3 linked regions of the Rattus norvegicus genome follow. The protein of the gene in region 2 interacts with the protein of the main gene of each other region in a pairwise test. Links are inferred from orthologs where the notes say so. Each region holds a gene or a part of one and is shown on either strand. Other genes may lie near its edges. The genes, in order: Clns1a, Lsm2 and Dnaja1.

Region 1 (4,424 bases), on a different chromosome or scaffold from region 2:
TTCTTCCTCTCAAACTATGTCCAAATGATGAGTGAAGATTTTAACTTCAGAGAGTTCGAGAATCTTTCCTCATCCATACTCCACTCCCACCTTCTCATTCCTGTCAGTGGACCAATTTTCTAGTCTCACTAATGACAAACTGGCTAAATTTAAAAGCGTTAACACTTGGAACTGGAGACATTGGACCAGCCTCTGAGAATGCCTAATGCAGATGGTTTCACTGCACCCAGGCAGGGTAGCTTACACCTGCCTGTAACGAGTTCCAGCAGATCCAGTGCCCACTTCTGGAGTCATTGGGCAACTGCACTCAATATGTACACAGAGGTTTTTTTGTTGTTGTTTTGTTTTTTTAAATCGTAAGGAAAAAAAAATCTAAAGATACTTCTGTTGAGACGATTCCAAAAAGAAAAAAAAGGAGGGGTGGGGGAAGGAGGATGAAGAGAAAGAGAAGGAAGAGGAGGAAAGACAAAACTCCCATCACATTCTACATGTTATCCAACCTAAACAGCCCTGACCCCATAGACATTACAATTCTACAGCCAAAAAAGGTGGAGTCTAGAGATCAGCTGACTGAATTCCATCCACCAAGTCATTACCAAACTTTAGCTTGTGAATTTAATGGTCTCATCTGTAAAACTGGGTCAGTAATAAAAATGTGTTCATATTGTTTATCATCAGAATAAAACTGAATTGAGCAGGTGTAGTGATGGATGCCCGTAATAGTTCTAGTACCCTAGAGTAGGGTGCATATCGATTATGTATTGGAGGCCAGCATGGGCTACAGAAGGAAGCCCTGTATCTAAAACCACGAACGAATCCATGAAGAAATAAGAGGTAAGGTCCTTATGCTGTGTGTTCTATAAGCCTCGGTTATAGGTTTCTATTTACTAAATCTGTATGTTTTCACTGCACGTATTTTTTGGGGGCCTAGCAAGCTGGGAAGGCAAGGGTTCCAGACCTTTTCCCTGGGCACTGTCTTTTGACTGTCTGGCCGCGCTGCTGATCAATTAATGTAATCTTTTTGTCTTCCTGGCGTGACACGTGGGGATGGGGCACTCGACCTCTCCGGCGACATGGGAACTAAAAGGCCTGGTAAATGGCTGTGTGAACCCAAGAAGAACAGGCCCGACGAGGAGGAAGCAGGGTGCACCCAACCCGGAGATTTTTGACCTCCAGATGAGTGTGGATTTTATTTCTGTGCGTCCTGCTCAGGCAAGGGACTCCAGGGGCCTAGGCCCATTCCCACTTTTTATTGGGAAAGTCTTCGTATTCCTCATACAGCCTCTCTCAGGGTTTTCTGCGACGACCTTGAAGTAGAACCACAGAGAAAACACTCGGTTATTCTAAGCACCCTTACGGGAGCCTGAGAAGGGAACCAGTATCACGTGACAGAAGGCCGGCTCGCTACAGATCTCTGAGTTGCCTAGAACATCCCGTCTCTATGGTCAACTGCACGCGAAATTCCTCGATGAGAAAGTTGTTCTTCCGGAGTACGGCTACTGCTTCCGGGGCAGCTCCCTGCGAACCGGGATTGCGGTGCTCTGCTTTCTTGGTTCCTGTGGAGCAATGCTTTCGCCCGCAATGAGCTTCCTCAAAAGCTTCCCGCCCCCTGGGTCCGCAGATGGACTCCGGCTGCAGCAGCCAGACACCGAAGCTGTGCTGAACGGGAAGGGGCTCGGCACCGGCACGCTTTACATTGCGGAGAGGTAGGTTCCAGGACTCCGGCGCCGGCCTCCTTCGGGGGCGCCTTCCTCCCAGAGGCGCGACCACGGGGTACTACAGGGGGGCGTCGGCCGACGCTGCTGTTATGCGGGCCCGGTGGGATTACCCCCCTCCGGAGCTCAGCTGGCTCTGTTCTCATTAACGACTTGTGCCTGTCTCCTGCAAGCCTGGCGCGTGGTCGCGTTTAGTTTTGAGTCTGCAGAGCCTCGGCTAGTTTTTCGATGGGCCTGGCTTTCTGAATGATCGTGTGAACTAGATGTTTTCCCTGCGTGGAATATGTAGCTCAGAGGAGATTGTGACGGGTTTAGGACGTTTGATTAATGAGCTTGGATTTTCCGCTCCAGATGTGGGTGGGGGAAAAGAGCATCTTCAGGCCCTCGCAGGGCGGAGTCATAACCAGTCGAACCCGACTCCTGGATGTGCAGGTCTTGGAAGGAATTCTTGTATTTGACTACTTGCAGGACTTTGTACTTCCACAATAAGATAGACGAGTCACTAAAATACACACTATACACACGCTCATACCTTCGTGCCCACCCCCATATTTTCCTGTTCTTATTCTCTCTGTCTCCCTCTCTCTGTCTCCCCCCAACCCCACACTCACACCCCCACTCCCGCCTTACTATCTTTCTCATACTTTCTGTCCTTCAGATTCTCTGGTTTACCATCTGCTGTATTTCATTTGTTGGCCCCAGAGGCTACTTTTCTTTTAAGAGCTCAGTGTTATAAATAACATTAGGCCTGCCTAGAAAAATCCAAGCTAGCCTCCTTTATATCACAGTCAGTTGATTAGTAACCTTAAATACATTCAGAATCCCCTCTGTCATGGCACTGGGAAACAAATCTCTTAGGGACCAAGATTATGCCTACTCCAGAGTCCAGGGTATAAAAGTGTAAGAAGTTAATTGTTTAAAGAACTGTTTGGATGGTGGGGCAAAGCCTGGGTGTTTAGACACCGACTGGAAATACATATGTGGGTGGGCACTCAGTTTGTTTGTGTATATATATACACACACACACACACACACACACACACACACACATATATATATATATGTGTATATATATATATATATATATATATATATATATATATATATATATAAAAGGTTTGGAGCAGTCAGGAGGGAGAAAGAAAGGGGGTGGGTAGGAAGAAGTGGTGGAGATTCATTCATTCATTCTGTAAGTTCTGTTACTCTAGAGAACCCTGACTAATACACATGGGTGGAGAGATGGTTTAGCACTTAAGAGCACTAACTACTCTTCCAGAGGTACAGAGTTCAATTTCCAGCAACCACATGGTGTCTCACAGCCATCTGTAATGGGATCTGATGCCGTCTTCTAGTGTGTCTGAAGACAGTTATAGTGTACACACATTAAATAAATAATTAAATAATATTAAAAGACATCAAAAATACACATGGATAAATAAAATGGATCTTGTTTTTCAGAGTTAGGATTATTTCTGTGTTTCACACTCCACATGCAGAAGAAATTGTTGAGATCACCCAAGATCTTACTGTGTGTACCTTCCCTCTCCTAAGTCTTTTTCTCTTTACGCATGCATTTCTCTAAGGTCCTTTGCCTGGCCCTCTCTTCTGGACTATATAGCCTACTCCAGTGAGTATGTTAATACCTACTCTTTTGAATTTCAAATCTGTCTTTTGGACATTTGATCACACTGTGAACCCCAAGAGTGTATACTAGAAAAGTCCTTTTTTTCTAGTCGTGGTGTGGCTCAGCCTTTAGCACACCTCTTTATAGCCTCTGACTGGAAGACAGACACATCCTTAGTATACACCTTGAATCCTAAACAGTGAAGGTCAAGTTAGTTTGTAGAAGGAAGCACCATGATTGAAAGTGATGTCTAAATGAGTGGCAGACAGAGTGATGAATCAGAGAAAGACTTGACCAAATAGGATATGCCCAACTCTCAGGAGAAATGAGAGGAAAGGGAAGCTATTTAAGAGCTGTGCAGAAAAAGGAAGGAGACAGTTTTACTGGAATAGTTGTACAGAGACAGGTTAGAGAAAAAAAAGGGGGGGGGGGGCAGAGAATGAGTAGTCAGATCAGCTAGAGTTAGTTTGATGCCAAGCAGAACAATTCAGGAGAAACTGAGAGAAACCAGATTGAATCAGCCATCTTGGAGAGGAGTTTGCCCCAAAAGAGCCAAGTTAAACCAGTCAGAAAGAATGGGAAAGGGCGAGTTTTTTCAGCAGTAAGTCTAGCCTAGATTAGATTGTACGGAGGCTAGAGTCTTCCAAGACTAGGCCTAGGTTAGCAGCGGAGGAATTAAACTTCAGAGATGACACTTACTGTAGGAGAATAAAAGTTATTTTTATGCTGTTTGATACCAGTCTCCTAAGATACAGACACAGAAGCCCAACTACTCCATACATACACCAACCAAACTCACCCCTCAACATACCAAACTTGCTTCCCTTCACATTCATGTGTTTCTTGCATAAACACCTGGCTTTGTCCACCATCAGAGTTGCTCTATAGATGAAGAGGGTTTTGTTTTTTTAAGCACTTTTATACCCTGAACTCTGCAGTAGGCATATCTTTTGAGAATATGGATTTGTTAGGATGACTTACAGGTGAGGTCTAGTTAATCCAACAATGGCTGTCTGTGAATGGAAAGCCCAAGACTCCAGAAGCTGCTCAGTCCAAGGGTCTGATCTGATTCTCAGTAGATGCTG
Region 2 (4,441 bases):
GACCTCTGGAAGAGCAGTCAGCTCTCTTAAACGCTGAGCCACCTCTCCAGCCCATGGACGTGCATTTTCTGTTTGTGAGTCCATTGTGAGTGTTTAACTTGATAAGGGCAAAGTACTTGAATTTGTGTAAGTTGAGCATATCCAACAATTTTTTTTTTGGTTTTGAGGCAGGTCTGCCTCAAATGTCTTTCGTTCATGCTGCCTACATGACTGGAATTACAGAACGTTACACCTGCCAGGAAAAATATTTTCTAATTCTCAGGCACCCTGAGCCCATAGGAAGCAGCTGCTAAATGTACTGACTGCTTCTAACCAGTGACAGCCTCTTTTAGATTCAGGTGTTAAAGTTTCTGTTGAAACTCGGTAACATCTTGCTTGGTAATCATGATGGATCCAGCTCTGAACACAGTGATGTGCACAGGTGGAGTGGGGTAGGTAGGACAGAGAGGGAAGACACATCTTAGGGTCTTGCTGGCAAGTCAGTCTAGCTGAATGAACCTGTCCATTCCAGGATCAGTGGCAGATCCTGTCTCAGAAAATGAGATGGCTAAGTCGTTAAGGACATATGTTGCTCTTCGGCAGGACCAGGGTTTGATTCCCAGCACCCGTATGGTGGCTAACAACTATAACTCCAGAGGATCCAACACACTCTTTTAGTGTCTGGGAACACTGCACATGTGGTACACAGATATACGTGCAAGGAAAAACTCACACATATAAAATTTTAAAATATTAAGTAAGTGGAAAGAACAGCCAGCATTCATCTCTGGCCTACACAGGCAGGCATGCTCCAAGCTTCACCCAGACCCCCAGGAAACCGACTTTTTTGGTATCATGCAATCAGCAGGCCTAGTCTCTCAGAATTCTCACCTGTGTACCATGACTGCCTTGCACCAACAGCCAGCCTCGAGAAGACAAAATAGCAAGTGTTTTCCTATTTATCCAGACATGATATCTACAGAAGCTATAACCTAGCAACTTCCCATTTAATTACTAGTAAAAATAATACGGCTGGAGAGATGGCTCAGCGGTTAAGAGCACTGACTGCTCTTCCAGAGGTCCTGTGTTCAAATCCCAGAAACCACACGGTGGCTCACAACCATCTGTAATGGGATCTGATGCCCTCTCCTGGTGTGTCAGAAGACAGCTACAATGTACTTATATATAATAACTCAATCTTTTTTAAAAGAATATGCAAGTCATAATTTTCTCAATCTTCCCAATAATTCTCAGTAGAAAGCGTAGAGTATGAGCAAGTCACCCGGCACAGAGAAGAATCTAAAAAATTATCAGGGAGGCGAACTACATCCAACGCGCAGCTGCTATGGCCCACGCACGCGCTCGGGAGGGAGGAGTTCCTTGGGAGGAAGTGGGAGACAGGAAGTCCCGCCCTCCTCCCGGTTTGGCGGTCCTCTCTGCTCTGCCCTACTCCGCTCCCTTTGAGCCCAGATTCAGCCGCGGTTTTCGCGGTTCCCCTTGCGCCTGCGTGATCCTGTCCTGCCTCACGCGCGGGCTCGTGCTCCGGCTCCCGCCCTGCCTCCGGCCCGCAGTCCCCGGCGCCTTCCTTCGCGGTCCAGGCCGCCCCTCGTGGCGCCAGCACCATGGTGGGTACCGTGACGTCAAAAGGGAGCGCCGCCGCCCGCGGCGGGCGGTTCGAACTGTTCGGGTCTTGGTTGCGCTCTAGTGTTTGTTGCCTTGGGCTGTAGCTAAGCCCTAGGGTTTTCCTTACAACCTCAGGGCCCACACCCTGTGTGAGGAGACTGCTTGGAACCAATGGTTTTTTTGGGGAAACTTCCAGCAAGTCCAAGAGAAAGCCCACGGGCGCCGGGGGAGAACGGAAAGCTAGTCTTGCATTTCCGTGCTGGAGATCAGGATTTTGTGAGGGTGCGGTTGGGAAGCGGTCTCGAGCAGGGAGGTGGTCGATTCGGAGAGTGGGTTCTGGCATCGAGGGGTGCAGCGCAGTTATTGTCTCTCTGTGGCCCCAGGAATTGCAGTCTCTGTTAACGGATTGTTGATGGTGGTGAAATTTTGAGAACTACTAGGTGGGGCCAAAAGGACTGGTATTTCAAATGCCGTCACGGGTTCCTCCTCCCTGTCCCTTTTCATGTGATAGTTCCTCCCTCTTTTCCAATAGCTCTTCTACTCCTTTTTCAAGTCCCTTGTGGGCAAGGATGTAGTCGTGGAACTCAAGAATGATCTGAGGTAGGTCTTTATTTCAGCGAGTTGGTGGAAGGTGGGAGGTGCCTGGTGTCCTGATCGTTTTCGTGGTTGTTGTTCACAAAGCTATTTTAGAGCAGAGGGGCAAAACACAGAAGAAATATCTTGTGTCTTGAGTGTAAAGATTAGTTTAAGAGTGAGCCTGGTGCTGTGGCACATGCGTGTAATCCCAACGCTGATGCAGAATTGTGAATTCAAGGACAGTTTGGTCTACATATGTCCAGGGCCAGCCAGAGTTACACAGTGAGATACAGTTAAGTAACATGTATGTGCAGTCCTGGATGTCCCGGAACACACAGATCCGCCTGCCTCTGTCTCCTGAGTGCTAGGATTTGCCCTGCTGTATCATTTGCTCTTAACCATTCAGGAGTGGATTAAATGCTGTATCACTGGAAAGATGTTTATGGCTTCTTGTCACATCATCCATTAGAGTCTACTTTCTTTTTTTGTTTGTTTGTTTGTTTATTATACATAAGTACATTGTAGCTGACTTCAGAAACACCAAAAGAGGGCATCAGATCTCATTATAGTTGGTTGTGAGCCACCATGTGGTTGCTGGGATTGAACTCTGGACCTCTGGAAGAGCAGTCAGTGCTCTTAACCATTGAGCCATCTCTCCAGCCCCTAGAGTCTACTTACTTTCTTTCTTTCTTTCTTTCTTTCTTTCTTTCTTTCTTTCTTTCTTTTTTCTTTTCTTTTGTTCGGGGCTGGGTACTGAACCCAGGGCCTTGCGCTTGCTAGGCAAGCGCTCTACCACTGAGCTAAATCCCTAATTCTAGAGTCTACTTTCTTAATAGTGCTTAGAAAATTATAGGTGTCACTGATGTCTATTTTTTTTTTCATGTACTGGATGGGCATGCTCAACAGGTGAACTTCATTTCCAGCCCTCGTGTTTCTTTTTAAAATCCTTTTATTTGTAGACTCTTGAAACCTTTGAGCACAGGTCAGTGCTTGAGAGCCTTGATTCTAAGACAGAACGTGGTGTTGACAAGCAGGATGGTTATGGCCAGTGTGGGCAAGTGAGAGGCTGGCCCAGGCCGGGGTGGAGAGTAGCTAAGACTTTTTCTAGTCTAAAAGTCAGACCACACAAGTGTTCTTCCACAGAGCAGTGGGGGTTCGTAGAATGTAGAGAGTGAAGAAGTAAAATGCAGGATCTGGGGTTGTTAATTAAAATTTTAATTCCTCTGCACCTCCGTGCAGTGGGTAAATATAAGATGGGTAACATGGTGTGGGAGCAGTGGCTTTGATAACTGTACTCAGGACTAGAGGGTGGGGGAGTGTAGCATTAATAATAGTTAATTTCAGCTGCCATGTATATGTAGGTCTCTGGCTCCAAAGCATAAATGTTTACAAGTAACAGCTATTGGAGCTGCAGAGATGGCTTGGTGCTTTAAAAAGAGCTTGCTGCTCTTCCAGAGAAATAGAGTTCAGTTCCCGGCAGCTACATTAGGTGATTGACAACAGTTTGTTGGGCTGAATACAACTCCTTAGAACTCTGGCTTCAATGGATCTGATGCCCTCTTCTGGTCTCTGTGGGTAACTACATGCACATACACACAAATAGTAAAAATCAGTATTTAAAAATAATGGATGTTTCTGGGAGTCGTGCAGATCAGGGCTGACATTCCAGTTCATTTGTGTAAGTTTTGGTACCTTACATGACCTCTCATAAGTCCTGGATGATACTACTTTGAAAGGTGATTAGCTGAGTGGTTGATGGCTGTTCATCCCTTAAACCTTTAAACCTAGCCCTCAGGAGGCAGGGGCAAGGGCAGGGGCAGGGGGGAGTTTGAAGCCTGCCTTATCTACAGAGCTAGTTCTAGAACCCCACAGGGAAACCCAGTGGGCAATGGCCATGAGTAGTGCTCCTAGCTGTAGTTCTAGAACTTCAGAAGTGGAGGTAGGAATGCCAGAAGTTGGAGGCCAGCCTGGGCCAAGTGAGAACCTGTCTTAAAGTGGAAATACTAATATTAAATGGAGCATAGGCCCGGCCTGACTACGAGCTTCTGATGTGTTGGTGTGAGGACAGACTGAGTCTGAGGTGCTTTATCATTTCCACCTCAGAACTTACAGGGGCTGCCTGCTGGCTTCAGGGCCTAGAGTTCCTCCCCCCTTGTCACTGTAGTTCTGATTTTCCCTCTGCTGATTCCAGCATAAATGAATGCTTCTCTCCTCTTTGCTCCCACAGCATCTGTGGAACCCTGCACTCTGTGGACCAGGTGAG
Region 3 (4,163 bases), on a different chromosome or scaffold from region 2:
TAACACATCTTATTCCACAAAAGTCTAAGCAGGAGGCCCCATGGTCTTCCTCTTCACAACTGCTCAGAGGCTGAAGAGTTCAGAGTTTGAAGCCAGCTTTGGCTACAAAGAGAGTACCAGGCCAGTCTGGGCTCAAAAACAAGGCTAAGGGGTGTAGAGAGATAACTAATCCGTTTAAAGCACTGGTTGCTCTTGCAGAGGCCCCAGGTTCACTTCCTAGCATCCACGTGGTGACTTAAAATTATCTGTACCTCCAGTTACCACAGGAACTAGGTATGCATGGGGTGCATAGACACACATGTAAACAGAACACTCATATACAAACAGTAACTAAAAAAACCTTAGAAGTCAAACAAGAAAACTAAATAATAAAATGTGACTAAGTTATCTGGAATAGTCAAATTCATAGATTCTATGTCTCTGGCTTCCTTGGGCACCTATACACACAGATACACACGATTGGAATTAAATCTTTTTAAACTATGTGAACTCTTTAAGCTTGCACCTCCACTTCTTTGATGTGTCTATTGTGTTACTGAATAAGAAAAACATTCACTGTCCCTTGAAAGCTTAAGATTCAACTTTGCCAACTATAGATTTTGATTCACTAACTGGAAATAAAAACGGTCAAAAAATTGAAACAATAAACTAAAGCAATTAATTTCGTGTTTTGCTGCTACTCTGCAGCCAAACTGGGTGGCAGACTGACTAAAAAGGTGCGTGAAGCATTCTAAATGTTTCCTGTTTGGTGCAGTCCCAGGTTCTGTCCGCCCAAGTCAGAGCCAGAAGGATCTGAAGCCTGGGCTCATCCAAAAAGCTGTGACAGGAGTGCGCTTGGGTGAAACCACCGGATCCAAAGCCTGCAAGGCTAGTCTAGGGACTAGGCCCGCCTTGCTCAGCATTTCTTGCCCGCAAGGCTCAGAGCTAAGGAGCTGCAGAAAATTAGACTCCGGTGAGGTTAGGATCCCTTCTGCACAGCGCCTGAAGCACTCGTCCCCGGCTTACGGCTCTGGGACATGACCTCTCCACCTCAAGACTTCCGCCCTCTGGTACCTCGCATAAAGAAAAAGCCTCTAGAAGATTCTACAAGGATCGGGAACCCGGGCCTGAGTCCACCCCCACAAGGCCCTTGGGCGCAGCCACTCTCCGCCCCCGCGCCGTTGCCCAGGTAACCGAGGGGCGGTGGCAGAAGCGAGGGGCGGGACTTCCGGCAAGTGACGCGCCCGGGCTCCGCTACAAAAGAGGTCGGCTGCGGCGGGCCGGGCGGAACTTTCCAGAACGCTCGGTGGGTGGTAGAGGAGCAGCGTCTGGCCGAGCTGCGCTGTGCTACGCTCCTCTTTCCGCTCTCCGGCGCCGGCCCGCTCACCGGTGAGTCTAGGTCCTTGGGTCTCCCTCGGTCGCGGCGTGCGGCCTGGGCACCAGACAGCCGGGGAAGCCGCAGCCGGAGGCGGTTGGTCCCGCGTGGGCGGGGACTGTGGGTTCCCTGAGCCGGGCTCGGTCTTCGGAAGGCTGCCGGGAATGCCCGGCGCCCTGCCCGCCCGCACGCCACGAGGCGGCCCAAGGCCGAAGCCAATTCGCCTCCCGCCTCAGACTCTTCGGTGCGCACCGCCGCCCGGGCTGGGTGGGCAGCGCTGCGCACGCGCGGACCGAGGCAGGGGTGAGGGGCTGCGGGAGGAGCGGGGCGGAGGCTGCGGCTTGCGCTTCTCCTGGCTCTCCTCCCTTTCTTTGTTGAGTCCGGCCTTCCCCCTCCGCCTTTTCGATCAGGGTGGGAGGGAGAAAGGAAGGAAACCTTAACGGTCGGCGCCAGGTGCCGGGGAAACCCAGAGGGCGAGTCAGCTCCGCAGGCCTGAGGGGCGAGAGTGGGTAAGTTGCGAGCGAGCAGGAGCAGGATGGCGAAGGGGCCTGGGCACCTGCTCTCTCGAGCTGGTCTCATAAGCCACTCCTCCACCCCCGGGTGTCCAGTGTCCCTTTCCGGCGAGGGTATGGCCTTTATCAGATGTACAAAGGCAGTGGTAATGTACTAACCAGTGGATGGAACCTATCAGTGCTGCTTTGGGTTACTAGCAAAACCTCTGGGGGAAAGGAAACCGGAAGAAACCCAATAATTCATGTGTTAGTGCAGTAGAGCAGGAACCAGCTGCTAGACAGACTTTCCTTCGCCTTCCCTGAAATTTAAATTTAGTCTGTTAGAATTTACAGCTGAATCATAGCAGGAATTTTTACCTTTTAAGACGTTTAGGGAAGGCTGTATTAATATGAGATAAAGGCAAAAAACCAGATTGCTTTAGTTCTGGTAGTTAAAAACTATAAGTTAAGAGCCAGTCATCTCTCAGGAGGCAGAAGCAGATGTTTTTTTTTTGTTTTGTTTTGTTTTGTACAAAAGGTAAAAGCAAGTTTAAAATTATCATTTTCTGATTTCAGGCTGTAAAAAATGGTGAAAGAAACTACTTACTATGATGTTCTGGGGGTCAAACCCAATGCCACCCAGGAAGAATTGAAAAAGGCATATAGAAAATTGGCCTTGAAGTACCACCCTGATAAAAATCCAAATGAAGGAGAAAAGGTAAGCAGCTCAGCAGTGTTGCCATGTGAATTAAGTCTGTACGGTAGCTGTGCTTTCTAACAGTTGTTTCTAATGGGATATCCTTTTCTGAAACAGTTTAAACAGATTTCTCAAGCTTATGAAGTTCTTGCTGATTCCAAGAAAAGGGAACTATATGATAAAGGGGGCGAGCAGGCGATTAAGGAGGGCGGAGCAGGTGGAGGTTTTGGCTCGCCCATGGATATCTTTGATATGTTCTTTGGAGGAGGAGGAAGGATGCAAAGAGAAAGGAGAGGTAAGAAAAAAATCTAGCTTACCTGCAGCAGAACAAAGTAACTGCTGATGAAAGAAAGACTTGAGAATTTATTTAAATGTTTTTTTACTCTTTAGCGTGATGTTACATTCTGTCCATGAACTGTCTCTGACTTCTGGTGTCATTTATAATTGAGTTGCTGTGGTTGTTTGGTTTGTTTGGTTTTTTATAATTTTTATTTTATGTGCACTGATGTTTTTGCCTGCATGTATGTCTGGATGAGGGTGTCAGATCTTGGAGTTATAGACAGTTGTGAGCTGCCATGTGGATGCTGAGAATTGAACCCTGGTCCTCTAGAAGAGCAGCCAGTCCTGTTAACCACTGAGCCTTCCCTCTAGCCCCTATAATTGAGATTTTATGTAACCAAAAAGTAGCTAAGCCAAAAAAGCAGGTATAACCAACTCCATATATTTTCAAACAGTAGGGTAACAAATTGTAGTAACAACTTAGGGTTTCTGGGCTGGAGAGATGGCTCAGTGGTTAAGAGCACCGACTGCTCTTCCAGAGGTCCTGAGTTCAAATCCCAGCAACCACATGGTGGCTCACAACCATCCGTAATGGGATCTGATGTCCCTTTCTGGTGTGTCTGAAGACAGCTACAGTGTACTCATATACAAAATAAATAAATCTTTAAAAAAAAAAAAAACTTAGGGTTTCTAAGCCCTTTTGTATCTTAGATAATATCACCTGCTCTTAGAACTCAGTGGTAAGTGCAGTGGCCTTTTTCTGTTAAAAATATGTTGGAGAAGGGGTTGGGGATTTAGCTCAGTGGTAGAGCGCTTGCCTAGGAAGCGCAAGGCCCTGGGTTCGGTCCCCAGCTCCGAAAAAAAGAACCAAAAAAAAAAAAAATATATGTTGGAGAAAACGAAACCTTTTCAAGCAAAGACTGGATACAGCTCGTTGCCTCCAGATAGCCTGCTGCCTGTTTACTCTTCAGCTTCATTAGCTCAGCTTAGATGCATTGACTGTTGGATCAAAAGACGTATTTTATGGGAAGACAGTATTGGAGGTTAAAATGGCACTTTGTTCTCAATATAGTTAATACAAACTAATGGGTAGGCACAGTTAGAACAAATCGGCAGCCCATTAAATTTCACTTTGCCCTTTTAAAGGTTTAAGAAGACTTGAAAATCTGTTTACTGTGTTTTTATAAGAATTTACCTATGGGCCTGAGAAATTGCTCAGTGGTTAAGAACATTTGCCATTCCTTGCAGAAGATCCAGATTTTGTTTCCTAGCACCCACATTAGATAGCTGGCTCACTACTGCCTGAAACTCTAGCTAGCTCCAGGGGACCAGACAACCTCTT

What was found.
Region 1: the proteins of Lsm2 (region 2) and Clns1a interact in binary tests that used the Homo sapiens proteins (3 or more experiments, as listed by UniProt). The link is inferred for Rattus norvegicus from reciprocal best matches to the Homo sapiens genes LSM2 and CLNS1A.
Region 3: the proteins of Lsm2 (region 2) and Dnaja1 interact in a two-hybrid assay, tested with the Homo sapiens proteins (2 studies listed by BioGRID and IntAct). The link is inferred for Rattus norvegicus from reciprocal best matches to the Homo sapiens genes LSM2 and DNAJA1.

Annotation. Positions count from the first base shown.
Region 1 is NC_086019.1:161,429,128-161,433,551, forward strand, and holds the start of Clns1a (methylosome subunit pICln), read left to right. Parts: upstream 1-1,541; 5' UTR 1,542-1,566; coding exon 1,567-1,706; intron 1,707-4,424. UniProt on the Homo sapiens protein: Involved in both the assembly of spliceosomal snRNPs and the methylation of Sm proteins.
Region 2 is NC_086038.1:3,848,826-3,853,266, reverse strand, and holds the start of Lsm2 (U6 snRNA-associated Sm-like protein LSm2), read left to right. Parts: upstream 1-1,601; coding exon 1,602-1,604; intron 1,605-1,773; coding exon of another isoform or gene 1,774-1,884; intron 1,885-2,134; coding exon 2,135-2,202; intron 2,203-4,405; coding exon 4,406-4,436; intron 4,437-4,441. UniProt on the Homo sapiens protein: Plays a role in pre-mRNA splicing as component of the U4/U6-U5 tri-snRNP complex that is involved in spliceosome assembly, and as component of the precatalytic spliceosome (spliceosome B complex).
Region 3 is NC_086023.1:60,637,147-60,641,309, forward strand, and holds the start of Dnaja1 (dnaJ homolog subfamily A member 1), read left to right. Parts: upstream 1-1,257; 5' UTR 1,258-1,368; intron 1,369-1,649; exon of another isoform or gene 1,650-1,727; intron 1,728-2,421; 5' UTR 2,422-2,431; coding exon 2,432-2,563; intron 2,564-2,659; coding exon 2,660-2,837; intron 2,838-4,163.